Callithrix jacchus: one gene and its partners. The protein of the gene in region 4 interacts with the protein of the main gene of each other region in a pairwise test. Links are inferred from orthologs where the notes say so. Each region holds a gene or a part of one and is shown on either strand. Other genes may lie near its edges. The genes, in order: TRIO, DISC1, SFR1, CDC5L, YWHAZ, GOLGA2 and KIF5B.

Region 1 (3,500 bases), on a different chromosome or scaffold from region 4:
GGATCGTAATTAGCATAATTCTTACGGATCCCAGGATTTTCAGAATGGTAAATGTGCATTGGCTTCAACTTAAAGTAACCAGCTGCATTAGCCCCTAACCCTTTCATGTTATTGGATTAGCTTTCCTTAAACATGAACCAACCTCTGCTGGTTTCCAACTTTTCTTCTGCAGTTTCCTCATCTGTCTCAGGCTTTATAGAACTGGAGAGAGAGGGGGCCTTATTCTGGGTTGGGCTTTGGCTTAAGGCAAAGTTGTGGCTTGATCTTCTGTTTAGAACACTCAAACTTTCTCTGTCTCAGAAAAGGCTGTTTCACCTTCTTACTATTCGTCTGTTTAGTGGGTAGCACTTTTATTTCCTTTGCATTCATGATTTGGCTGTTTGGTGCGAGAGGCCTAGCTTTTGGCCTGTATCCACTTTTGACATGGCTTTCTCATTAAACTTCTAACTTTTGATTTAAAGTGAGGGACATGTAAACATTTAGAGGCCACTGTAGGGTTATTAACTGGTCTAATTCTGATATTATTGTGTTGCAGGCAGGCCTGAGGAGAGGGAGACAGATGGGGGAATGGACAGTTGGTGGAGTAGTTAGAACACACACATTTATTACGTTTGCCATCTTGAATGTGTGCAGTTCACAGTTGCTCAAAACAATTATAATAGTAACATCAAACATCACTATGTATCATCATAACAAATATAACAACAAAATGTGTCAATATTGTGAGAATCACCAACATGTAACATAAATACAGAGTGGGATCACATGTTGTTGGATAAATGGCACTGAGAGACTTGCTTGACATAGGGCTGCCACAAAACTCGTGTAAAAAGCCAATTCTTCAAAGCACATTAAAGCAAAGCACACACACAAAAGAGGCGTGCCTGTGTCTATGCTGGTATCTATGCACACTCCCTACTGGTTCTGCTCCTCTCAAGGACCCTGACTAAAATGGGGCCTAAGAATGTATTTTGGAGAAAGAAAAATAGGTGATATTTTCCCCTTGGGTTAAAAAAAAAAAACCAGCCAGGTGTGGTGGCTCATGCCTGTAATCCCAGCACTTTGGGAGGCTGGGGTGGGTGGATTATGAGATCAGGAGTTCAAGACAAGGCTGATCAATGTGGTGAAACCCTGTCTCTACAAAAAATACAAAAATTAGCCGGGTGTGGTGGCGTACACCTGTCGTCCCAGTTACTCAAGAGGCTGAGGCAGGAGAATCGCTGAACCTGGGAGGCGGAGGTTGCAGTGAGCCAAGATCATGCCACTGAACTCCAGCCTGGGTGACAAAGCGAAACTCCATCAAAACAAAACAAAACAAACAAACAAACAAAAAACACACTTTTGTGAGTTATGACTAACACAAAATGCTGTCAGATGGGATTCCTTAACAATGGGCTAGAGCAGACTATTTCTAAATGCAGATTATTCAAAGACCCTGTGAGCATGAGTGTGAGTGTGAGATGGAAGGCCACCCATCTTCCCATGTGCTCAGAGCTGAACTGGAATGAACACCCCAGTGCTGCTCTCCCTTCCACATGCTTACCCCGGTTGGGGTCTTGTGCCTCAAGGGCGCTGTGGCCCCTCCCTCTGCTGCCTGCCCAGCTGCTGTTGCTGTCAAGCACTCACTTGAGAGTCCCGTCGGGGTTCTCCATGATGACTGCACTGGTGTGGCCCAGGACAAAGCCCGGAATCCAGCCCTCGGCTGCAGGGCACTGGTCAGTGGCGGCTCGGAACACCAGAAACATGTTCTGCTGGTTGCTGGCCAGAATCTGAACGACCTCTCCTTGGTAGACGTTGATCTCATCCTCCTTCACTGCCGTGTAATCGTGTGTCACCAACATGGTGGAGATGTTGCTACTGCTGCTGCTTTCACTCTGCAGAGGGACAGATGAAGACAGAGAAGGCAGGGGGAACTGAAACAAGGCCTGATCACATGAAGTCCTGTGCCAGTGTGCCCCGCGGCACCATGACCCAGTGCAGGGCTCACCGGGCAGCACCGAAACTTTCAACTTTTTCTTTACCCTCTGGCTAACTCTGTGCATCTATTTCAATAACTGAAAATGTGGGCTCTCTAGAAAGCAATTTAGGGATGCTCTTAAAAAATTCACTGCAATAATGACTCTGGTGTTGGGAGCTGGTCACACTGTGACCTTCCTTGCACCCTCACAGGAACATCTCAGACCTCATGTTAACGCCATGTTAGGTTACTCCTTTTTTTTTTCAAGACTACAATGTCACTTCTCATTTACACGTTAGGCTATTCCTAAGCAAACAGCCGTGTCACTGTACCATTATCAGTTGAAAAAAGGTATTCAAATTAACTGATGCAAAATTAATCTTCATCTCACTGACAGATTCCATAATAGAGAAGTCCCCAAATCTTCCAGATAGAATGTTCACTGGGAATGCATATTTTAGAATCATGCTAAGTTGCTGACATGCCTGATCATTTCTATTTCTTTGCTTCAAAAACAACATGGAGCACCTGAACATAAATCGATCACTATTCTGCTCTTATGGAGAGCAGCTCTGTCTCCAGTGTAAGAGCTTGCTGGGAGTCCCTCTTATGAGCTTGCATGACTCAAGTGTCCTCAAGGCTATTGCCATGGGAACACAACACAAAGCATCCCAGTGCGGCTCACCACAGGTGCTGTGACTCAAGCTTTGGGAACAGATTCTGGTGTGGGATGCGTACCCCGCCCCACTTAAGCCTCTGCCCCCATGGGACCAGGTCTCTTTAGTCACAGGGCTGCCATGCAGCAGGAACTCAATTCATGGTGAGTGGCCCAGTCAATGAGGCCAGAGTGACTGGTAAGACAAAGAGCGTTTCTTAAGGCCCTACCCAGGCCACACACTGAGTGGGGTTAGCTGCTAAGAAGAAACACAAATGGCAGTGTTTGTCCCAAACTCCCATCTAGCGCGTGGCCTATGGCTCTGGGTGGAGGAGACGAACGCGCAGATCCCCCGCCAGCTCCTGAGGCCCCTCTATGGAGTAGAATGTGAGAAATGGCATCTGGTGCCTTGTTCCCGTGAACTTGTGCTCAAAGGCCTCCACCGAGGACACTGTTGGGATGTTCATGGATTCCCAAGACTCCAAAGGTGCTAGCTTCTGCTGGGCTCTCCGACGCCCTGGGTAAATCCTGGGTCAGTGCAGACACAATTAGAACACCCTGCTCTACCGCCTCTCAGCCCTGGTCTACTGAGCTGGTATCAGGACATGCTGGAGCAGGTGGTGGACTGCTGTAGCTCGCCAAGAGGACCGGAGGGAAGAGACCTCTGGCCCTCCTCCACGATGTCAAGCATGAGAGAGCCAACAAGCCAGCCACTGGGAATTCTAGGTACCAGGGCTCTGAATCGAAACCTGTAGTGCATATTTAAAATAAACACGGTGGTGCTGCCCGGCTCCTGTCCTCGTCTCCGTGGAGGAGTCTGCTTCTGTTCTCGTCCCTGTGGGTGCCCACTGTTTGCCTGTGGCTCCTCAGCTCAAACAATGTTGTACA
Region 2 (2,558 bases), on a different chromosome or scaffold from region 4:
TAAAGCCGCAGGGAACACAATCAGCACATTCACATATGGTGCTTTTGCTTCGTTTCCTGAACCCCAGCCAATTGCTGGCTTAAGCAGGGCCATCTCCTCGACTGAGGACAGAAGTGCTGCACAGTATGGAAGGCTCAGCAAAGCACCAGATGCCTTCTGGAAATGCCAGTGACTTCAGGAAATGACCAAAATGGCCTCGTATCCATGGATCCTAGTGAAGGCAGGAACCTCACTATCCCTGAACATATCAATGAGGACAGAAGCACAAACAGAACATTTACTGGATTAAATTTACCAATCTGCACAAGTTTGAGTGTGGTTTCTGAAATGATATAAGTCAGTGTTTGGACTAGGACTTCCTCGGAGAGTGCAGCGCTGACCAATACTAGATCTATGGGATATGAATAGGAGTTACATGAAAAAAATTCATGATCCATTAAACTTGGAAAGTTTGAGGTTAGATAAAATCAAGTGGCTTTCCTTATTATAACTTCTCTCACAGACTAATATGCTAATGTGTCCTGTGGCTCTCCAAGCAGATATGATGGTATGGTGTATTTACCAAAGGTACTTGACCAGAGAGGGGGACTCCTTTGGTTAGAGAGCACCTCTTGGGGCCACCTTCCTAAGTGCACTTTGGGAAGTGCTGCCTAATTGAAATCAGCCTGTTTTGCAGCTGTCTCAATAGGAGTCCCAGCTTGGCCTGCAGGAAGAGCCCAGCAGGAGCCCGCAATGCCCTTGCATTATTGAATACTGCACTGATTTACTGAGTACTACATTGGCTGAGTACTGCACTGTGTTACTGAGAACTGTGCTGTCCTACTGAGTACTACACTGTGTTACTGAGTACTGCACGGCCTTACTAAGCCCTGCACTGCCTTATTGAGCATTGCACTGTGTAACTGAGTACTGCACTGCCTTACTGAATACTGTACTGTATTACTGAGTACTGCACTGTGTTACTGAGTATTGTACTGCCTCACTGAGCGCTACACTGCATTCCTGAGTACTGTACTGTCTTACTATTGCACATTTCTGAGTACTGTACTGCCTTACTGAGTACTGCACTGCCTGAGTACTGCATTGCCTGAGTACTGTACTGTATTACTGAGTACTGCACTGTGTTACTGAGTATTGTACTGCCTCACTGAGCGCTACACTGCATTCCTGAGTACTGTACTGTCTTACTGAATATTGCACATTTCTGAGTACTGTACTGCCTTACTGAGTACTGCACTGCCTGAGTACTGCACTGCCTGAGTACTGTACTGTATTACTGAGTACTGCACTGCTTTCCTAAATGCTGCACTGCCTGGCATTGAGTGAAATATGTTCCATGGGAAAACAGAACAGGCTCAAACATTTCATTCGGGTCTCCTGATCCATTCACAGCCTCACTACAGGTAAATTACAGAATGTCCTGATGAAACAGAGACTCTCGAGGATCCTTTCTTCAGATGTAATCATTGCCACAAAAGGAAACTGAAAGGTGGCATATCACTGACAGGCTGCTGCCTAACTAAAATATCTTTTGGAAATTGCATAGTAATTTTTCTAAGATAATATTAGATCACAGGAGAAGTAAGGTGAAAAGCTGTTAATTCCAGACTCTGAGGTTAATTAGCTCTCTTAGTGGTGCACCTGTAGGAACGTGTAACAGGTAGGATGACAGAGTCTTATGCTTGGTTTCCTTTTTATAGAATCTTGAATCAGGAAATGTTTTAGTTACAGCAGAAGGCAAATGGTGTAGAAAAAAGAGATATTTTTTTCCAGAATTCACCCCAGCTTCTCTCTACTGGGGATTGAAATGAAAATATTCTTGAATCCTGTGCAGGACATTCCCATGAATGACATGGCAAAGAAAATTTTTAATGACATTTAGAAGCAAATTCAGCAAATCAGTCTCCCTCTCCATATTCCAATTTGCAGACTCCTCGGTTTCTGACTCATGAGAATGAACATGAACCACCTTTCCACTGAAAGACATCAAGGCTCTGTGTCTCCATAATTGATTCAGGCACATTAGTTATGCAGTGGGAAGGGAGAGTAGACCCCCGGGTCCAAACTGTTGACATGGTGGCCCACCTCCCTCCCCCATCCCGTCACTCCTCAGGCTTGCACTTCCCGGACACCAGCTGTCATGCAGGAAGCTGCAGCTTCTCTTTCCCCCGCCTCCTTTGCTGGCTGGAGCTGCAGGATCATGGCCTGCAGAGTTTCCTTCACCATCTGGAGCTCCCTCTTGAGAGACTGTGGGCACGTTGTTAAGGAGCACATCCGAAGGTGATGGCGGCCCTCTGCAGCCTCCAAGGGATGGAAGAGCATGTGAGCCCCCTGGAAGCAGATGGGCACTGCCATCTAATTGCAGTTTCAAGTTCTTTCAAATTGTAGGAATTAAATATTAATACAAATTTTACACTTTTTCTTTTAAGAATAATTGCAATTTCTACAATGCCTGAGGTACTGACTATCTCAAATCAGGTCTTAAAAAGGAAATGGAAGAGTAAGCTCTTAGCTGAGACAGATGGCCACCTCAGATGCTCAATGATCTGTGGTTGGCA
Region 3 (4,237 bases), on a different chromosome or scaffold from region 4:
TAGTTGCCTCTTACTAGTTCTCATTTAATCCACCAGTCCCCTATTAACAGATGAAGCTGAGGCACAGAATCACCTCATTAAGAAGCGTATAAAGCATAGTGTCAGGATCTGAACCTAGACAATCTGACTCTAACGTCTATGTCCCTAATCATGGCTTTAGGTAGTCCTCAGGCTCTGTATTTATTATAGCTGACTGTGTAAGACTCAGGTAACTCCCTTCTGGCCACTTCTAAGCCATTACTGTCAGATGTTACTAATAGTAAAAACACGATATAAATGTTTAAAATGGCCATTCAATAAGAAGACTGAAAACACTGGCCTCTGGAAAGTCCCAACTTCCACGTGACTCAGAAGTTACTCAACTCTTTCCCTAAACCCAGTGCTCCACCCAGTGTAGTTAACTTCGTCGTCGCGTAGCCACAGAAACTTGCCACACTGGAAGCCGAGGGGGTGGGGTGGTGGATTTTCTAGACTGAGGATGCTGCTGCCTGGTGGTCGGCAAGGGCCCTATCGGTGTCAAACATCTGAATTTTGGACCGACATAATCTCATTTAGTGATTGTTCTGCTTGCTGTGTTGCGCCACAACAAATTTCCTTGGGCTAAATTTTCCCTCAGATTTGAGTAAAAGAGTTGAGATCACCCTAAGGAGCCTGAATACTGAGGTAGAGAAACAAATTTTTTGTTATAAAACAAACAAAAAACTTAGCGACGCGACCGCCGAATTTGCGGCAACCAAAAAGCGAGGAGCTCAGCTAAAGTGCCGGGACTCTCGGATAGATTTCTAATATGTCTTGTTCTCAACAGGCTCTTTTCAACGCTGCTCTTTTGTGGTCTCTGCCTCTAGGGAGTCCACAAGCTGTAAATCTAACGGACACCCAGCCGTGCAGCTTCCGGCCGCGCCAAGTCTGAGGAAAGCCTTTTCTGCGGTGAGCTGGTAGAGGAGACTGACGGGAGCCAGGGAATGGAGGAGCCGAGCGCGGGGCGGGGCCCCTTTCAGGCGCACTTCACAAACGCACAAAAACAAGGAAGCCGGACGGAAGGCGGTTGAAAAAAAGGCAAGGGAAGCCAGGAACAGAAGCGCGCCCCCCTCAGGATCGGTTGGTCGTTCCGAAGCTCAGCCTCGCCTGCCGGTTAAGCCCTGCTTGCCGATCACGGCCGCGCGCACGCGCGCGCACTCCCGCTGCTCTCGGGTGCTGGGCGGGGAGAGCCGCGCGCGCTAGTTAATTCTGCCAATCACGTGTCTCGGCAGCCTATCGCATGGCCAAGTCCCGCACTAGCCGCCCACTGGCGGAGGCGCGCGCGCAGACCCGCCGCTCTCAGTCGCTGAGTGAAAGCAGCGCCTCACGCGTCAGTCAGTCTGGCCAATTGCGTGTCTTTTCCGTGTCTCGCACTGCCCCGCCTTGCCACAGGATAGATTTACGGCCGCAACTGCGCGCGCTTTTTGCTTTCGCTGGGGATGGCGGAGGGAGGTACTCTTTTGCAGGGAACGGGGCTACCTGAGACCTGGACTTCCTCGGGAGTCTGCTGTGGAGTCGAGTTGAGCTCCCTTTCCGGGTCGGGGGAACTGAACCTAAGCTCATCCCTGGAGTCTCCGGGGATCTAGTGGGCTTTCTGCGGCGGGGGGCGGGGGGGGGGGGAAGAGGGACTCCTGCCTCTGGTTTGCCTCGCAAAAGTTTATGCCTCTGTCGGAGGAAATAATTCCAGTGCACTCTCCTTGAATTCCTGATTTTCTAAAGCTGTTTTTTCCCCTCCTCCTAAGGCAGAATTTGAATATTTTTTGGTAGATGAAAACAAGGAGAGTCGTGACTATGAGATAATAGCTGGTTGTGAGGTACTAGCTGGTTGATGTGTCATGAATAAATTAGTAGTCCCTATGTGGGAAGGTAAATGGAAAACTGCAAAAAGAACAAGAATGAATTATAAAGTGAAATTTGAAGAAGTATCTGTCTTACTTGTGGATGTTTTGTACACAAAATAGTCATAAAAATTGACTATAGAGAGGTGTGGTTTTGATTCTCATTTTATAATTTTTCTTTTTTAGAGAAAAGCCAAGATTTCATTTTCAAGATGGAAAGTCCATCAGACTCAGCTGCAGTTTTACCTAACACTCCTCAGGTCTCTGCAATTCCATCGTCTCCCTATACAAGTAGTTCACGAAAACAAGTATGAACATCTTTGTTCTTCCAGTGGATCCATTCTGTGTTCTAGGTATTGTGGCAGTGGTGATTTAAATTCTACTAAAGATGGTTAATTAACATAATGTGTAGCCTAAATAAGTAGATATTTTATTAAATAATTTTATGTTTTTCTTCTAAGTTAACATATATGATACCCACTAGCCTTCCGCCATGTTTTCCTCTTGAATTAATTCATTTCAGTTACTTTCAGATTAGGTTATTACAACACTCACCAAATTGAGAAAGTGAATCTGTGCAGTATTATTATGAAGGTCTTTAGTGGCAGGGTCTAGGTCTTTTCCCTACTCTGTAATTCTGAAGCACCTGGATTACTGTCAGGCATGTGCTTGTTCCTGAACAAATGCTTAATTACTGGGACAAACCTCTCAACAGTTTTAGAAAGGTGTTGATCTTGCTGAACTAAAAAGAGAATAAAACAAATGGAGTTTCCAGAAATTAAAGACATTTTGTGATGCCTTCTTTAGATATGGAGACAGCCACCTAGTGGTGTCTAGCATAGAAATGTAAGGCCTTTATTTCTGATAGATTTATTTACATCAAGAATGTTCTTCTTGATTAACATTTTTAATGTTTTGTGCTCTTTACAGCCTATGAGTGCAACACTTAGAGAAAGATTAAGGAAATCAAGATCTTCATTTAATTCTTGTTACAATGTGGTGAAACGTCTTAAAGTAGAGAATGAAGAAAATGATCAGACCTTTTCAGAGAAACCAGCATCTTCCACAGAGGAAAACTGTTTGGAATTTCAAGAAAGTTTTAAATACATGGACAGTGAATTTGAAGAAAATACTTTGAAGAATCTCAGTGTCTGTGACTCTCAGTCGCTTAATTCTGGGTCATGCAGTGCTCTCCAAAATGAGTTTGTGAATGAGAATCTGCCTAAACAAAGATTAAGCGATGAAAAAGCCAAATTGGTGAAGCAGGTTCAGGAGAAAGAAGACCTTCTTCGGAGGCTAAAACTAGTCAAAATGTATAGATCAAAGGTAAGAATTTGAGGACCATTGCATAATTTTTATTTTTATATAAATTGCAGGAAAGTAATTTAAAAAATAGAAAGTAGGAGCTTTTTTTCTTTTTTTAAGCATAATAAGCAATAAGCCAAACATTCAGAAACCTGGCTTCCAACAACTTTAATTCAACTCCAGATTTATAGTAGAAAAGGCCCGTAAACACTAGGGTAAAACTTTTAAAGAATCTCAGCTCTTATTTAATATGCAGTTAAACTTTTCTCTGTAGTTTCTAGCTTGCAGGAATGTAAGTATTAAATGTTAGATAAAAGTACGATGGTAACAGAAGGGAAAGCTGACAGTGAATTAGTAAAACTAAAAATGAGCTGTAGAGTACAATAAAAGGTATTTTTAGTAATCATCTTGTTCCCCCGCCAAATAATTGATGTGATTCAGCCATTTTATTTGAGAAAACAAATGTATATTAGGCTTTAGATTTAGATAGGTTGAATTAAGTAGAATTTGGAAGGAGATAACCTTTAATACCTGAAAAATTCATATATATGTAATAGCATATTTTCCCCCAACTACGTGGAATAAATGATGGGATAGAGTATCTCATTTATCTTAAATTTTTAGAGTTTGAAAAAAATATAATTATTAGGCCGGGTGCCGTGGCTCAAGCCTGTAATCCCAGCACTTTGGGAGGCCGAGGCGGTTAGATCATGAGGTCAAGAGCTTGAGACCATCCTGGTCAACATGGTGAAACCCCGTCTCTACTAAAAATACAAAAAATTAGCTGGGCATGGTGGCGCTTGCCTGTAGTCCCAGCTACTCAGGAGGCTGAGGCAGGAGAATTGCCTGAACTGAGGAGGCGGAGGTTGCGGTGAGCCGAGATCGCGTCATTGCACTCCAGCCTGGGTAACAAGAGCGAAACTCCATCTCAAAAAAAAAAAATTATTGAATGTTGAAAAATTTTATTTATTTATTCATTCCTTCATTTATACTTTGTTAAGAGACATGGTCTCTGTTGCCCAGCTGGAGTGCAGTCATAGCTTATTGCAGCCTTGAACTCCAGGGCTCAAGTGATC
Region 4 (3,500 bases):
ATATATACAGCTACTATGTATCTACAAAAATTAAAAATTATAAGAAGAGAAAGGTCTCAAAAAAATCAGCCTAGTATTAATTCTAGAAAAATAATCCTGACTTCAGAACTAAGATAAATCTTTGCTTTGTTTTCTATTCTTCCTTATTCCCAACATTCAGACCAATCGAAAACTTTCACCTGTTATTACTGAAGATACTCTGGGATATTCCAGTAGAAGGTTTGAGGACAGGGCAAAAAAAAGACCCCTATAATTTTCATTTGAGGGAATACATTTCTGACACTGAAATGTAACAGCAAATGAAAAGAACAGGTTCAAAAGTTAGTTTGTCCTTGGACTAATAAAATGCACTCTGAAAGATATCTGAATTTGTATGTGTGTGTTTATTTTTAATAGAAATACTGAATCCCATGTAGGCAAAAGAGAGTCAAGTCCTGATTACCAAAAAAGCCTCCTGGTACCCAGAGTTTTCCCAGAATATTCTCACCACATCCTCAGCTCGCCTTTCCAGCCTCATTTCCCACTACTACTAACATGTACTAGGTTGTGAGGAACAGATGGGTTGTTAGGTCCAAAACATCCTCCGTGCTCACTCATATTGTGGTCTCCATCTGGGACAGCCTCCATCTTCCTTCAGAACCTACCTCCTCAATTAAGGCTTTCCTGTTACCCAACAAATGTGATTATTCCTTTCTTTACCCCAAGCACATTGGTTTTACTCAAAGGGCTTATTCTGTTCTGATATTACAATTATTTTTGGACTTAGTTTAGTACTGCCAATCTCCCCAGAATATAAATTTCCTTAAGACAAAGGACATCTTTATTCAACTTTAGATCCCTCAAATGTCCAAATGCATGCTCTGCATGCATGAAGTTCTCAATGTTTAATTCTTATGTATCCAGTCAGAGGTGGCTTTAGTTGATATCAATTTGGACTTTAAAAAAACATATATAAATCAACCAAATATATACATTAGGTTAGAATTAATTTTAAAATGAAAACAAGCCAGTATCATTAGAAGTTATTTTTTTAATTTCACAATGATTTCTGTAGCATCAGATAATAAGGCCCAATAGCAAAGTAATAAATGCAATTACATGTGCAGAAGCAAAACTTAACTTTTACAATTAGCTTTCTACTTCACCTTGCTGAAGAAAACTTCAGTAAAATCAACAACAAACATCAATATTTGTAAACCTAGTAAGCATAAGGAAAGGTAGGTTTTGAGCCCAAAAGATTCCCTCTTTCATCAAGTCTTACAAATCATTCTCTTTTTTTGGCATCCACAGGTGTATAGATTCTTAAGGTATACGTGATATGAACTAACAGGAGAAATTTTAATTTGGCACCCATGAGATATAAAAAAAATTAAGAGTTTTAAAAGGGAATTGACATTTACCATCTGCTTCACGTAAGAAGGATCACTATAGTCTGCCATTCCATCCTCAGGATTAATGTTTAACTTGTCTCGAAGAGGAGTCCTACCCGGCGTAGAGTTAATAACTGGTTTGGGAGTTGTTCCACTCCGGGGAGTCAGCCCTTCAGTTCCATTAGAAGGAGTCCTAGAAAGACAGGAATCCCAATTAACAGCAGCGCTACTTATATTTTAGATTGTGCTTTCAAATGTTTGTCACATAAATTATTTCGCAGGAAATAAAGAAATAAAGATTCCAGAAATTCTGTCTAGCTAGTTTCATTAGGCTCTCTAGGTTAAAATCAATGTTTGGTCGAGCTACCATGTTATTTAAACATAATATTTTTACTTTTTAACTGTCAATAGTCATTACATATGATATTTTCTAGCCTTTCTAATAAACTAGGTCCACTAAACATTATTTCAACCTTTTCCAGGCACATTAGGGCAGCTAAGAATATGCAGTGGGCAGGGAGATGGGCCACCACACTCAATGACCAGATTCCTCTTTGAATTTGGTTTTGTCTCCTCCCTAACAAGCTGTTGGCTCTCGCGCATCATTATCATTGTCATTACTACTGATGTACACACTTTAAATAGTTCCTCATTTTACATTTTGTTTAGAAACCAAATACCACACTTTTAGAATCCCATCTAAACATGAGTAAGCTCCTGAGGGAGGCCTAAGAGAGTCTCCTAGGAATTAGATCCACAGACTTTGCAGCAACCCATATTTTAATTATTCAAAGTCTTTTTTTTTCCTGGTTGCCTATTTCCTGTATATTGGTGTGTTGCAGAATGGTGATGCTGCCAGACAGCTATTCCTGATAGGTAAGGTGTTATCACATAAGACATGGTCCCTGTCCCCATGGATTTTACAATCTAGGTGACAAACAAGACGTACAGTTGTCCCTAAGTATCCACAGTGATTGGTTCCAGGACCAAAATCTGCAGATACTCAAGTCCCTGATATAAAATGGCATCGTATTTGCATATAACGTTTGCACATCCTCCCATGTACTTTAAATCATCTCTAGATTACTTATAACACTTAATACAATTTAAATACTATATAAATAGTTGTTATACTGTATTTGTATTTGTATTATTTTTTACTGTTGTACTGTTTGGGTTTTTTTGGGATTCTTCTTAAAAAATGGCAGCTTAAAACTAAGCAAAAGAGTTATAAAAAAATACTAATTCTAGTTAATGCATGTGGAAGTGCTTAGGGATCAAACAAACTGATATCTGCAAGTTACTTTGAAATGCATTTAAAAATATGATGAATTGATGGATCGATAGGTGATAAAGCAAATACACTAAAATACTAGCAATCTTAGAATCTAAGTGGTGGCATGATGATACGGATGTTCACTTTAGCATTTGTCAACTTAAACAGGTGAGAGACTGGGTCTCCAAAACAAGGAGTTTATTCAGGAACAACAAGGGATGACTGTGGGATATGCGTGCTATGACAGACCACAGGTATACCCGAGGGTGCTGGGGCAAGGGGAAGGTTTTAATGATAAAAGGGAGAAGTCCATGAAAACTGCTTTGAAATAAAGGCCACTGGTTACAGGGACTTAGCACAGGAGGTGGCATTTATTTTCATTGCCGATATAGATAAGAGCACCCCTTATCTGAAATGTGGGACCAGAAGAGTTTCAGATATGGAATTTTTTCAGATTTGGGGATATTTGCATTATACTGGTTGAGCACGCCAAATCTGAAACTTCGAAACTGAACTGTTTCAACGAGCATTTCCTTTGAGTGTCATGTTGTTGGTGCTCAAAAAGTCTAGATTTTGGATTTTCAGATTTAGGATGTTCAACCTGGTAGGGCAATGTCTTCACAGAAGCAACTTATCTGGAATTTGTGTGGTTTTCAGAAGATCTCTGCAATAATTTCTGTCATGGGCATATGCACATGAGGGTTCCTTTTTCATGAAAATATTACATAAGTGATTCCATTTCAATACTGATAACTTCCACACATTCTTTCAACCTCTCTAAATGCTTGATATTTTCAAAATAAAATGCTGGGGGAAAAGCAACAGTAATACATACACAAAAGGATTACAATCTT
Region 5 (3,500 bases), on a different chromosome or scaffold from region 4:
TTACAAGCAGGTTCACACTTTTAAACAGAACAGAAAAGCTGAGATAAACAGGACACAGAACGTAGTCAAGGTGCTTTACCTGACTCTCATTCCTTACAATCCTGTGGGATGAGTATTATTCCTACTTAATTGAGCTCAGTTTTCTCAGAGGGACTAAGTGATTTCCTCAGGCCATGCATCTATTAAATGGTAAAACTAGTTTGACTCAAAATCTTGAGCTCTATTATTCATCTCGACATACTTCTTTTGAGTTTGAAATAGGCCTCCAAGACTGTATTTCCTTGGTGTTCACTTCATCATGTCTAAGTTAAAAACTACTCAATTTTTGGCTGCCATCTTTCAGGTTTAAAGAGGTACCAGTGCTAAGTCCCTCCCCAATTACCAAGAGAGCTTTTGTCTGAGCATCTGGCAGGAAAGGCAGATTGTTCACATATTGCAGTTTCAAATTAACACATGAAGAGAAGAACCCCAACTTCTTTTACATAATGAAAAGTCCACATTGTGAAGAACATGCCAGTGACCACTTCCCATGGTAATACTCTACTAACTGTTGTAAAAAGCAACATGGTCCCAACTCTTTGCTTATTAAATGATTAAACAATTAATAAATACAGGTAACCAGAATGGGTTACCAAAGAGCTCTTCAGAAAAATTCAGAACTTTGGAGATTAGTTGCTTTTTGTAGGAAGAGTGTATTTTCATAGCTATTATAAAACAAGTGCTCAATATAAAAAAGCTGGTTATCACTAATGCCACCAGCCAATACTGTTAATTCTGCAAAGGAATAACCTGCTTTTCTCAAATTAAAAAAAATATATATATCAAAGCTCAGAAAAGTCTGGAGTAATAAAAAAATATTAATTTTTTTATCATGTAAGATCTTAAAAATATAATTAAAACACTTTTACTAATCATTAAGTACAACAAAACCTTCTCTGGTAGAAACATCAGTTCTGCTACATTTTATTCTTCCACTTCACTAGAAAGGGGAAAGGGCATTTTATGCAAGATGGTGCTAGAGTCAACGTGACCTCTTTGAAAAAGGTGGTAGGAAAAAGAAGCCTACTATCTGTAAATATCAAATTTTCCCAAGCAGAAATAGAAAAAGCCAGGGAAATTTTGTAGTGCTGCTGACCTAATTCTATCCTTTTTCTCAAAAGAAGCCTTTATGCTTAACAAATATTTGAGCATCTACTACACATTATGAGTATGCAAAGATCACTAATATTCTTAACAAAAGACTAAGGCTGGAAGCAAATGCTTGCTTAGAATTCTCTTCGAAGCCATCTGTGTAGTAAAGGAATTAAACTCTCATTCATCCAAACTTTCAAAGGGGAAATGCCATTTAACCTTTTAGAGAAGTCAGTGCTATTCTGGAGGATAACATGAGTAGGAACCAGAATCAACCTCCTTAATAATCCGAACAAAAAGAAGCTATTAATATTAAGAGATTATCTTGTCATTCTCACTTACTGGTTCTACGCAAAAAAATTTCTTGATAAGGAAACCAAAGGGAAGCATAGTTAAAACTGCTACAAGTTGGACCAGATGCGATGGCTCACGCCTGTAATCCCAGCACTTTGGGAGGCCAAGGTGGGTGGATCACCTGAGGTCAGGACATCTGGCTGACATGGTGAAACCCATCTCTACCAAATATACAAAATATTAGTTGGGCGTGGTTGCGTGTGTCTGTAATCCCAGCTACTCAGGAGGCTGAGGCAGGAGAATTGTTTGAATTGGAACCTGGGAGGCAGAGGTTGCAGTGAGCCAAGATAGTGCCATTGCACTCCAGTCTGGGCGACAAGTACAAAACTGTTTCCAAAAAAAAAAAAAAAAACACCTGCTATAAGCCTTTTCTTAGGAAAAGACAATGACAGGAACTTTTATACTTTGCATGCACATACCTACCTGGTATTACAAATAAGCATGTTAGTAAAAAGTAAATGTTAACATTCCTTTTTGTTCCTAAAATTGACTTTTGTCTTAAGGGAAATTTTAACTTGTAACACATCCTTTGAAGCCAAAATAAACACTTTTTGATAAGCTGTAACTGGGCAAAACACACCAGACTGAACAAAAACTGAGTAATATGTACACAGATACAACCACATCAGATATTATCCTATTATTCATTATAGCAATTCTTCCACAAGGTTCATATAGTAAGTAACACACACGGATTTCCATCCCGAGTCCCAGATTCAGTAACCTGTCCAGAAAAATCGAAATGCTGTCCCTCTTTGTATATCAGAGCCCTGCCATACTGGTAAGTATAACCACTTAGTAAAACCACTTTAAATATTATTCTAAAGACTGCCAGCTTGGTTGGATTTTCTACTAGTTTATCCTCAAATTTAAACTATTCTTGATCAAAAAGCCTTGCTTTTGTATGACAGATTAAAACTAACCAAAGTTTAGTTTAATTCTTTTAAGTACAGTGCTTCAACACAGTAAGTACTGAATACTTAAAATACTTGATTCAAACTGGAAAGTCAAGCTTTGAGTTATCCATAACCTTTCATCATGGTTGTTGAGTATTCAAAATTTACTTTCAACAATTCAATGCAGGAAGAGGTTTCATAGTTGTGAGGCCAGTTTTCTGTATGACTGACTCATTACAGTAACATTATAGCGGCTAATCCAAAGAGTACTATTTCTACAATGAGTATCCTACTACATCTCTCACATTAAATATGCAAAATTCCTTTATCCATAGATGTACATTTAAGACAATCAGCTACAGAGCTACTACAAATATTCTAACCACAAGAAAAACAGTAATACTGTTAGTTTTTCTTTTCAATTAATATAAAATAGAATACTAAAGTCTATTATTTTTAACAAAACAACTGTTTCATAATCATTGTTGCAATTATTCTACATAAACATATCTATAATTGTATTAACATCTTTTTAGTCATGACACCATAAAGACTTCTAAATTTGGAACACACAATGTTAGAAGGAAAAGAACAAGGAAAGAAAAAGTTGAGAGTAATGTAACTGATACTCATAGGAACCCTACAGTGTAATGAAGCCAGACTGGATGTGGAATTCTCACCAGTACATCATTGCAGATATCTCTTAGCTCCGTCTCAATTTTCTCTCTGTATTCTCGAGCCATCTGCTGTTTTTTCTCAGCACCTTCCGTCTTTTGTTCAATACTTGAGACGACCCTCCAAGATGACCTACGGGCTCCTACAACATTTTTATAAGCAACCGAGAGAAGATTCCTCTCCTCATTGGATAATTCAGCTCCTTGCTCAGTTACAGACTTCATGCAGGCTGCCATGTCATCATATCGCTCAGCCTGCTCGGCCAGTTTGGCCTTCTGAACCAGCTCATTTTTATCCATGACTGAATGTTCTGCAGGGGGGAAAAAAGGAGTATTTAAAATTTTTCCCATCAAAATAAACAGTCAAAATTATACCTGTGGTAAGTGAGCCTTATTAAAACCTGAAACATAATTGCCTGTGGAAAATCGTTCACATGATTAAAAT
Region 6 (3,500 bases), on a different chromosome or scaffold from region 4:
CTGACCAACATGGTGAAACCCCATCTCTACTAAAAATACAAAAATTAAGGCCAGGTGTGGTGGCTCACGTTTGTAATCCCAATTGGAAGGCCAAGATGGGTGGATCACGAGGTCAGGAATTCAAGACCAGCCTGGCCAAGATGATGAAACCCCATCTCTCTAAAAAAAATTAAAGAAAACAAAAAAAATTAGCTGGGTGTGGTGGCATCTGCCTGTAATCCTAGCTACTCAGGAGTCTGAGGCAGGAGAATCGCTTTAACCTGGGAGGCAGAGGTTGCAGTGAGCCAAGATGGTACCACTGCACTTCAGCCTGGATGACAGAGCAAGACTCCATCTCAAAAAAGAAAAAGGAAGGACATTGGTGTTGAGGTTGGCATATGTATCAAGAACACACAGTAACTACCAAGGCTTCCCAAGTTTTGGCAAAACCCAGGCGTTTTGGGTTTTTGGTCATATGGTTGGAGCATTCCGGGTATCCCCTGGGGTTGCAGCTCTCTATAAGTTTGGTGTGGCTGAACCAAGAAAGAAGGCATATGCAGATTTCTACAGAAATTGCGATCCCCAGAAAGATTTTGAGGAGATGAAGAAGGCTGGTTTTTGTAGTATAAAGTCATGTTGGAATAGAAGGAATTTCTTCAGGTTGAATTACCTAGAAGTTTGTCACTGACTCGGGTTCCTGAACTATGACACATGAATATGTGGGCTAAGAAATAGTTTCTCTTGATAAATAATTAACAACAACAAAAAATGAGATCAGTCAGGCGTGGTGGCTCACGCCTGTAATCCCAGCACTTTGGGAGGCTGAGGAAGGCAGATCACTTGAGGTCAGGAGTTCAAGACCAGTGTGGCCAACATGGTGAAACCCCATCTCTACCAAATACAAAGATTAGGCAGGCGTGGTGGTGCACACCTGTAGTCCCAGCTACTTGGGAGGCTGAGGCAGGAGAATAACTTGAACCTGGAAGGCAGAGGTTGTAGTGAGCTGAAATCTCACCATGGCTCTCCAGCCTGGGTGACAGAGGGAGACTGTCTCAAAAAAAAAAAAGAGACCATGGGCTTGGAAATGCCTGGAAAACATGTCAATGTGATTGAGGAAGTATTACTGTGGAGTAGTTACTGTAGCTATTGTTACTGGTTGGCCAGCTGCTCCTCTCCCTGCTATATCCTGACTTAACCTTTCTGTATTTGCAGTACAATAAGGAGTTAACCAAAGAGAGAGATGCCCTCAGGCTGGAGTTATATAAGAACACGTACGATGGGAGATGGTGGGATGGGAGGTCTGGGGGCCCTTAGCATGGGTGGTATGCTGGGAGGTGGGGGGTATACAGGGAAGCATGGTGAGCTGGTCATACAGGTTTGCATGTGTGCCCAGCAAAGCTCTAGTAACAGCTGTGCCACTGACATGCATGGTGTAGCCTTGGGCAACTCATGTTGTCTCTCTGGCCTGCTACATGTGACTTTTGATTCCTGGGGTTCCTTCCAATGCCATGGTTCTGTGGTTGTGGGGCAATGGGGTTGATCACCAAAACAGTCTTTTCTGTTCTTCATTCCTTTCTTTCTTTACTGCCTCTGGCCATAGCCAAAGCAATGAGGACCTGAAGCAAGAGAAATCGGAATTGGAAGAGAAGCTTCGAGTCCTAGTGACTGAGAAGGCTGGCATGCAGCTTAACTTGGAAGAACTGCAAAAGAAGTTAGAGATGACTGAACTCCTGCTTCAACAGGCAAGAGGCTGCAGCCCTGGGAGTGGCTAGAGCCCCATCCAGCTGAGGCCATGCTCTAGGGAATCATGCACGCTATGGGGAGGCTTCAGCCAAGAGCTGGAAAATTTCGGTTCTTGTTCTGGTCCTGCCATAGAATCCTCTAGAGAGTGCTAAAAATCTACAAATTGGGGTCCTGCTGTAGACCTGGAGAATCAGAATCTCAGGATTAGGGCTTAAAATTTTTTGTTTGTTTAAAGCATCATAAGTGAAAACCATTATTTTAGAGATTACATTTATATGGCTAGCTCATGAGTCTGTTTATTTCCTTCTGAGGTTCAAGGCAACACTTTCACTATTCCATGGTAATAATAGAGAGTAGATTTTTTTTTTTTTTTGAGATAGGGTCTCGCTCTATCACCTAGGCCAAAGTGCAGTGGCGTGATCTCAGCTCACTGCAACCTCTACCTCCCAGGCTCAAGTGATCCTCCTGCCTCAGCCTCTCAAGTAGCTGGGACTACAGGTGCACGCCACCACATCTGGCTAATTTTTGTATTTATAGAGATGGGACTTTGCCATGTCGCCCAGGTGGGTCTTGAACTCCTGAGCTCAAGCAGTCCACCCACCTCAACCTCCCAAAGTGTTGGGATTACAGGCATGAGCCACCATGCCTGGCCTGAGATCTTTTTAAGATTATTTTTTATTTCTAAGGTAAACTTGACAGCAGAATTTTATTGACCAAGTTGAACATTGAGCCTAGCCCTAGCCCTTTTAAGGGGCACTGTGTGGAATGGCCTGGGCTCCCCACATCTAAACTCTCTTTAACATCCAGTTTTCAAGCCAGTGTGAAGCCCCTGATGCTAACCAGCAGTTACAACAGGCCATAGAGGAGCGGGCTCAGCTGGAAGCACACCTGGGGCAGGTGAGGCTTTGCAGGGGAGGGATGTGGAAAGAAGATGACCCCAGGTGGCCAGGAGCAGGTGAGGGCCAGTGACAGCCCTTCCTAACTTCTGTAACCATTCTTGCAGGTAATGGAGTCTGTTAGACAACTCCAAATGGAGAGAGATAAATATGCAGAAAATCTCAAAGGAGAGAGCGCCATGTGGCGGCAGAGGATGCAGCAAGTATCAGAGCAGGTGAGACCTGACCCTTCAGGTCTAAGGTTGTTTAGGCCTGAAGCAAGGGCCCAACAACCTTAGATAGGTCACTTGATCATTGTGGGCATCTGTAAAATGGGAGAAGCACAACCAGAGGTGGTCATGGGTCTGGGCTTTGTGGAGATGGTAGCCTATCCAACCACCAGCCCTTTCCTGCTGTGCTTTGGACAGGTGCACACATTGAGGGAGGAGAAGGAGCGTAGCATGAGTCAGGTACAGGAGCTGGAGACAAGCTTGGCTGAACTGAGGAACCAGATGGGTAAGCTGGGGCTGGGGTGACCTGGGAGTAGGACTTTTGTCAGAGGGCTTCAGAGATGGCTTAGAATGCCCCAGGGAGCTGGCACTGAGGCAGAGGGAAAGAGGTTTGTGCCAGGAGATGGCAAGTCTTGTCATCTCTATGAGCCTCAGTGTCCCCATCAGCAAAGAGGGAGGAGTGCTGGTTGTCAGCCACCCACAGTTGTCATTATTGAATAGTGGCTTGGAAGACTGGCTACCATCCAGGTGCAAGGAATCATTAGCAGGGAGGCCAAGTATGGGGAGCCTAAGAGGAGCTGTGGACCAAGAGGAGGGAGGGCATTTTTTGAGAATCCAGAGGCCCTTATCGTCTGCTTCCTTTTTCAGCTGAGCCCCCGCCCCCAGAGCCCCC
Region 7 (4,214 bases), on a different chromosome or scaffold from region 4:
AACTTAAAAGCAACTTTTTCCAAATGGAAACCTAGAATGTATGTTTCCTTTATTCATTTTCCATTAGTTTTTTCTTCATAGTTTATGCCATATTTGGGCCTCATCAACGGTTATGTTCTAATCTTAATATATTTTATGAATCCTAAATTTTAGCATTCCAACAAAAAGAATCATAGTGGTAATTATAGATTTGTGTAAACACAAAATCTGAAGAAATAAGACATTCTTAAGACAAGCGTAAAAGAAAAACTAGGTTTGATGTGCCAACCATTGCTGAAGCTGAGTACTATAAATCACAAAAACTCTTAAGCAACTAGTAGCCTCAAGTTTGACAACTCTTGCAAGCCTCCTGACTACATGTAAAATATCCCATCCTAAAGGAAAAAGATTACTGCACTTAACTTCTCCTCTGCTGGGCTATGATGTCATTTACACAAGAGATTTTCTTGTGGACTTGTTAACAAAGAACCGGCTTGACAGTCTTTACACAGTAATAGCTGGCAGTTGTTAGTGGCCTAATGACTTGTTTGCCAAAGGACTACCAAGGAGCTGAGACATTCATTTTTTGGAGGTGAACTTTGGAGAAACTTTCACATGGAAACCCTAAAGAACTTTAGTCTGTCTTCAACGTCAATGCTTTCAATCATCCTTGTCCCATTTCCTGTGACCTCTGCCCTACTTCCAAATTAAATAGCCCAAACGCAGTATTACAGAATGGCATTAGGCCAGGCGCGGTGGTTCACGCCTGTAATCCCAGCACTTTGGGAGGCCGAGGCGGTCAGGTCATCTGAGGTCAGGAGTTCGAGACCAGCCTGGCTAACATGATGAACCCCGTTTCTACTAAAAATACAAAAAAAATTAGCGGGGCGTGGTAGCGCACGCCTGTAACCCCAGCTACTCAGGAGGCTGAGGCAGGAGAATCGCTTGAACCCAGGAGGCGGAGGTTGCAGTGAGCCGAGATCGTGCCATTGCACTCCAACTTGGGCAACAAGAGCAAAACTCCGCCTCAGAAAAAAAAAGACATTAGAGGAAAAATTAACATATTAAAATTTCATACGATAACAAGGTAGAAATTTCTACTAATAGCAATACCAACAAAGATCAACATAATTTAGTCACAGTTCACTGTTTTGTATGCCATACAATTAATTTTTAATCTCCTTCAACTCAGAGTGCTATTTTCAGTGCCAGAGATCAGTGCTATTTTCAATGCCAGATCTTTCAATGCCAGAGATCAGACCTCAAAAAACCCTCACATTCTGGTCTCACTGACAACGGTCATTAAATTCTAGTTATGTTTTACATTACAAAAAAACAGTATCTCACTATTCTTGGGATTATTAAAGATCAATTTTCTTCAAGATAGACCTTAATTGCAGATGTATGAATCTAACACTTTTTCTTTTTTAAAAAGCTTGTTTCTATATTGCTTTCTGTATGACATAAAAACAAGAAGTTAATACTTTCTCCTAGGCTGTTATCCCACAAAACCCAGCAAGAGTGGGATTTGTCTTTCGGAGCACTTATTTGACCCAACCAAAGTCGGCTAGGTCTGTTAGATTAAACAAAATTGATCATTCTGATTTAAAAAAAAAAAAAAACTCAACTATTTCTTTCTACAATCCTCGATTTGCCATTTGTAACTGTTCACATGAAAAGTCATTCATCACTCAAAACGTGGTGAACGTCTGAGGTGTAGATAATATTTGTAGCTGTTTGGTGCTTTTTCCTTCTCCAAGGGGGAAACAATACGGTTCAAGGACTGGTTATGTGTTTCCATAAAACTAAGTACCTTTATTAAAGTATACCACCGCTTGTCTCAGAGCTCAATGCCCCAGCTAAACCTTGTATTAGCACTACATATTTTTTGAATGGTAAATTTAGGGTAGTCCAAAACACCAACAGCATCCGTAACTGCACACACAGATACGCAGACAAACGTACACTGAACTTGCTCCCCGGACATTCCTCCATTGCCCCAGGTGGGGGAGTGTCCCGGGCTGAGGCTGGGCGCCTCCCGTCTCCCGGCGCCGAAGACTGGGGAAGGGGCGATCCAGGAACGCCCGCGACGCTGCGCAGTCTCCCTCCCCTGGGTTATCTTAACTGGCAAACTCTGCAGAAAGGGTTGGGGACACTGCCGCTCCCTTTCACTTCTGCACCCTGCCACTTCCCTAAACTCCCCGCACCGCCTGGACCAAAGAAGCGGGGAGAAGGGTGCCGGAGAGGGTCACTCACCGCGATCACGACCGTGTCTTCTCCCTGAAACTTGGCGACGTACTTGTCGCCGCGGTTCACCTCAGACTCGTTGAGAGGTCTGAAGCGACACATCACTTTGATGTTGCACTCGGCCGGGTCCGCCATCTTTCTCGCAGCCGGGGCCGGCGGCCGGGAGCCACTCCTCGCCGCTCAGTCTTGGAGGGAGCGCGCCGGGGCTGAGAGTCTTGGAGTCGCAAGGGCAGTGAGGGGCAGCAGTCAGCCTCTCCGCGCTGCGCTTCCCCGGGCGGAGGCGGCCGGGGAGCCGGGACTCGAAGCGCCGGCGCCGGCAGCCGTTGCCCTGAGGCTCACTTCCTATCCATCATGGCAGCCAAGGCGGCGGCGGCACCGGGGAGAGCGTCGCGGCTCTTCAGCGTCCCCTTCACCGGCCTGTGCGGGCTGCGGGGACTGAGGAGGTTCTGGGGGCCGGGAGAGTGGCCCACTCTTTCCTCCTCGCAAAGAACAGGCCAGGCCCACCCGTCTGCACGCTCTGCGGTTTGCTGGCCGGCCGCTGCCGGATCACTCCAGAGGCCGCAGATGGGCTACTGGGCGGTGCGGGAGGAGGACTGCGCAGGCGCGATGGGCCGGGCGGCCCGGCAACCAATCGGTGCCCGCGTTCGCACCCGGCTGCTGCGGCCGTGCCGCCGGTTCCGCCACCACTCCCGGCCCGGGGTCGCAGATTCAAATTTTATTGCAAGGACCCTCTCGAAGAAGTTCCTGGGGACGCAGTGCGGCGACTTCCCTCCGCATCCCAAGCTGCAGAAGAATTCCCCAGAGCCAAGGCAGACGCACTTAGCTTTCTTTTCTTTGTGGGAGAAGGGGTTTGCTTCAGCTACTTAATGTCGTTTAAATAAACCACTAGGCGGGTCTGAGTGCGATGGTGTTTGCAACTAATTGATCGCAGCCAGAGATTTATTTATTTTCCACTGCCACTGTTTCACATGACTAGCTTTAAAATTAAAATGTGAAGTACTATATTCCTATAAGGAAGTGTTGCTTTCATTTTTGTCTGGGGGAAAAAATCATTCCTGGCCAACCTTTTTGGAACACGTTGCCAGAAAAAGGTAGGATTTCGATGAAGGGTAGCTCTTTCCTGAGAGAATGGGATGTGGGGAGACAGGAATAAGAAAGAAAAAGGAAATTTTTCCTAGGGAATGAATAAAGTTGCAAAGAAATGTGGAACAATAGGGTGAGGAGGGGGAAGAGCCGTCAGCCCCCTCACACAGCCTCCGTCACTCCAGCCGCCTAGTGCCTTGCATCCCAGCCCCGCACCCTCGCCTCTCCCACGCAGTTCAGCGAATTCCCGCCACTTCCCCGGCACTAAACATACGGAACTCATCAATCCCAATACTAGAGTAATGACTGACCTGGAGGATAAAGATAGTCTTTTTAAAAAGCTTAAGTAAATTTGTGCATTACATATGAAAACCATTCCATAGTTGACTTTGCCTTCTAGTTTTAGAAGATGAGTACCATAAAATTCCATGGGAAGTGGCTGTGAGGTGCTGCAGAAGGAGAACATGCACGATTGTTGCATAGGTACATACATGGCATTTAATTTTTTTTTTTTTTTTTTTTTTTTTTTAGACAAAGTCTTGCTCTGTCGACCAGGCTGGAGTTGCAGTGGTGCTATCTCAGCTCACTGCAACCTCCACCTCTCTGGTTCAAGTGATGCTCCTTTCTCAGCCTCCTGAGTAGCTGGGACTACAGGTACCTGCCACCACGTCCAGCTAATTTTTGTATTTATAGTAGAGACGGAGTTTTACCATGTTAGTCAGGCTGGTCTGAAACTCTTGACCTCAGGTGATCCACCCACCTCAGCCTCCCAAAGTGCTTGGGAGCCACTGCACCCGGCCTTATTTTTTATTTTTTGAGAAAATATGAAGTTATAGTGCTTTACACTAGCTCTCATCTGAATCAACACATTTTCTTCTCTTTATCTTCTCAGCATATATTTCTAT

Evidence for each region.
Region 1: the proteins of CDC5L (region 4) and TRIO interact in a two-hybrid assay, tested with the Homo sapiens proteins (2 studies listed by BioGRID and IntAct). The link is inferred for Callithrix jacchus from reciprocal best matches to the Homo sapiens genes CDC5L and TRIO.
Region 2: the proteins of CDC5L (region 4) and DISC1 interact in a two-hybrid assay, tested with the Homo sapiens proteins (2 studies listed by BioGRID and IntAct). The link is inferred for Callithrix jacchus from reciprocal best matches to the Homo sapiens genes CDC5L and DISC1.
Region 3: the proteins of CDC5L (region 4) and SFR1 interact in a two-hybrid assay, tested with the Homo sapiens proteins (2 studies listed by BioGRID and IntAct). The link is inferred for Callithrix jacchus from reciprocal best matches to the Homo sapiens genes CDC5L and SFR1.
Region 5: the proteins of CDC5L (region 4) and YWHAZ interact in a two-hybrid assay, tested with the Homo sapiens proteins (2 studies listed by BioGRID and IntAct). The link is inferred for Callithrix jacchus from reciprocal best matches to the Homo sapiens genes CDC5L and YWHAZ.
Region 6: the proteins of CDC5L (region 4) and GOLGA2 interact in binary tests that used the Homo sapiens proteins (3 or more experiments, as listed by UniProt). The two-hybrid records come from large-scale screens. The link is inferred for Callithrix jacchus from reciprocal best matches to the Homo sapiens genes CDC5L and GOLGA2.
Region 7: the proteins of CDC5L (region 4) and KIF5B interact in a two-hybrid assay, tested with the Homo sapiens proteins (2 studies listed by BioGRID and IntAct). The link is inferred for Callithrix jacchus from reciprocal best matches to the Homo sapiens genes CDC5L and KIF5B.

The regions. Positions count from the first base shown.
Region 1 is NC_133503.1:190,740,438-190,743,937, forward strand, and holds part of TRIO (triple functional domain protein), read right to left. Parts: intron 1,875-3,500; coding exon 1,627-1,874; intron 1-1,626. UniProt on the Homo sapiens protein: Guanine nucleotide exchange factor (GEF) for RHOA and RAC1 GTPases. Involved in coordinating actin remodeling, which is necessary for cell migration and growth. Plays a key role in the regulation of neurite outgrowth and lamellipodia formation.
Region 2 is NC_133520.1:52,906,638-52,909,195, forward strand, and holds part of DISC1 (disrupted in schizophrenia 1 protein), read right to left. Parts: intron 2,249-2,558; coding exon 2,110-2,248; 3' UTR 1-2,109. UniProt on the Homo sapiens protein: Involved in the regulation of multiple aspects of embryonic and adult neurogenesis. Required for neural progenitor proliferation in the ventrical/subventrical zone during embryonic brain development and in the adult dentate gyrus of the hippocampus.
Region 3 is NC_133513.1:97,125,274-97,129,510, forward strand, and holds the start of SFR1 (swi5-dependent recombination DNA repair protein 1 homolog), read left to right. Parts: upstream 1-1,437; 5' UTR 1,438-1,457; coding exon 1,458-1,470; exon of another isoform or gene 1,471-1,555; intron 1,556-2,042; coding exon 2,043-2,164; exon of another isoform or gene 2,165-2,209; intron 2,210-2,786; coding exon 2,787-3,182; intron 3,183-4,237. UniProt on the Homo sapiens protein: Component of the SWI5-SFR1 complex, a complex required for double-strand break repair via homologous recombination. Acts as a transcriptional modulator for ESR1.
Region 4 is NC_133505.1:52,878,076-52,881,575, reverse strand, and holds part of CDC5L (cell division cycle 5-like protein), read right to left. Parts: intron 1,564-3,500; coding exon 1,401-1,563; intron 1-1,400.
Region 5 is NC_133517.1:96,020,124-96,023,623, reverse strand, and holds part of YWHAZ (14-3-3 protein zeta/delta), read right to left. Parts: intron 3,367-3,500; 5' UTR 3,356-3,366; coding exon 3,062-3,355; intron 1-3,061.
Region 6 is NC_133502.1:176,868,508-176,872,007, reverse strand, and holds part of GOLGA2 (golgin subfamily A member 2), read left to right. Parts: intron 1-1,191; coding exon 1,192-1,250; intron 1,251-1,579; coding exon 1,580-1,721; intron 1,722-2,529; coding exon 2,530-2,619; intron 2,620-2,725; coding exon 2,726-2,833; intron 2,834-3,025; coding exon 3,026-3,113; intron 3,114-3,475; coding exon 3,476-3,500. UniProt on the Homo sapiens protein: Peripheral membrane component of the cis-Golgi stack that acts as a membrane skeleton that maintains the structure of the Golgi apparatus, and as a vesicle thether that facilitates vesicle fusion to the Golgi membrane.
Region 7 is NC_133508.1:31,791,297-31,795,510, forward strand, and holds the start of KIF5B (kinesin-1 heavy chain), read right to left. Parts: upstream 2,801-4,214; 5' UTR 2,362-2,800; coding exon 2,236-2,361; intron 1-2,235. UniProt on the Homo sapiens protein: Microtubule-dependent motor required for normal distribution of mitochondria and lysosomes. Can induce formation of neurite-like membrane protrusions in non-neuronal cells in a ZFYVE27-dependent manner.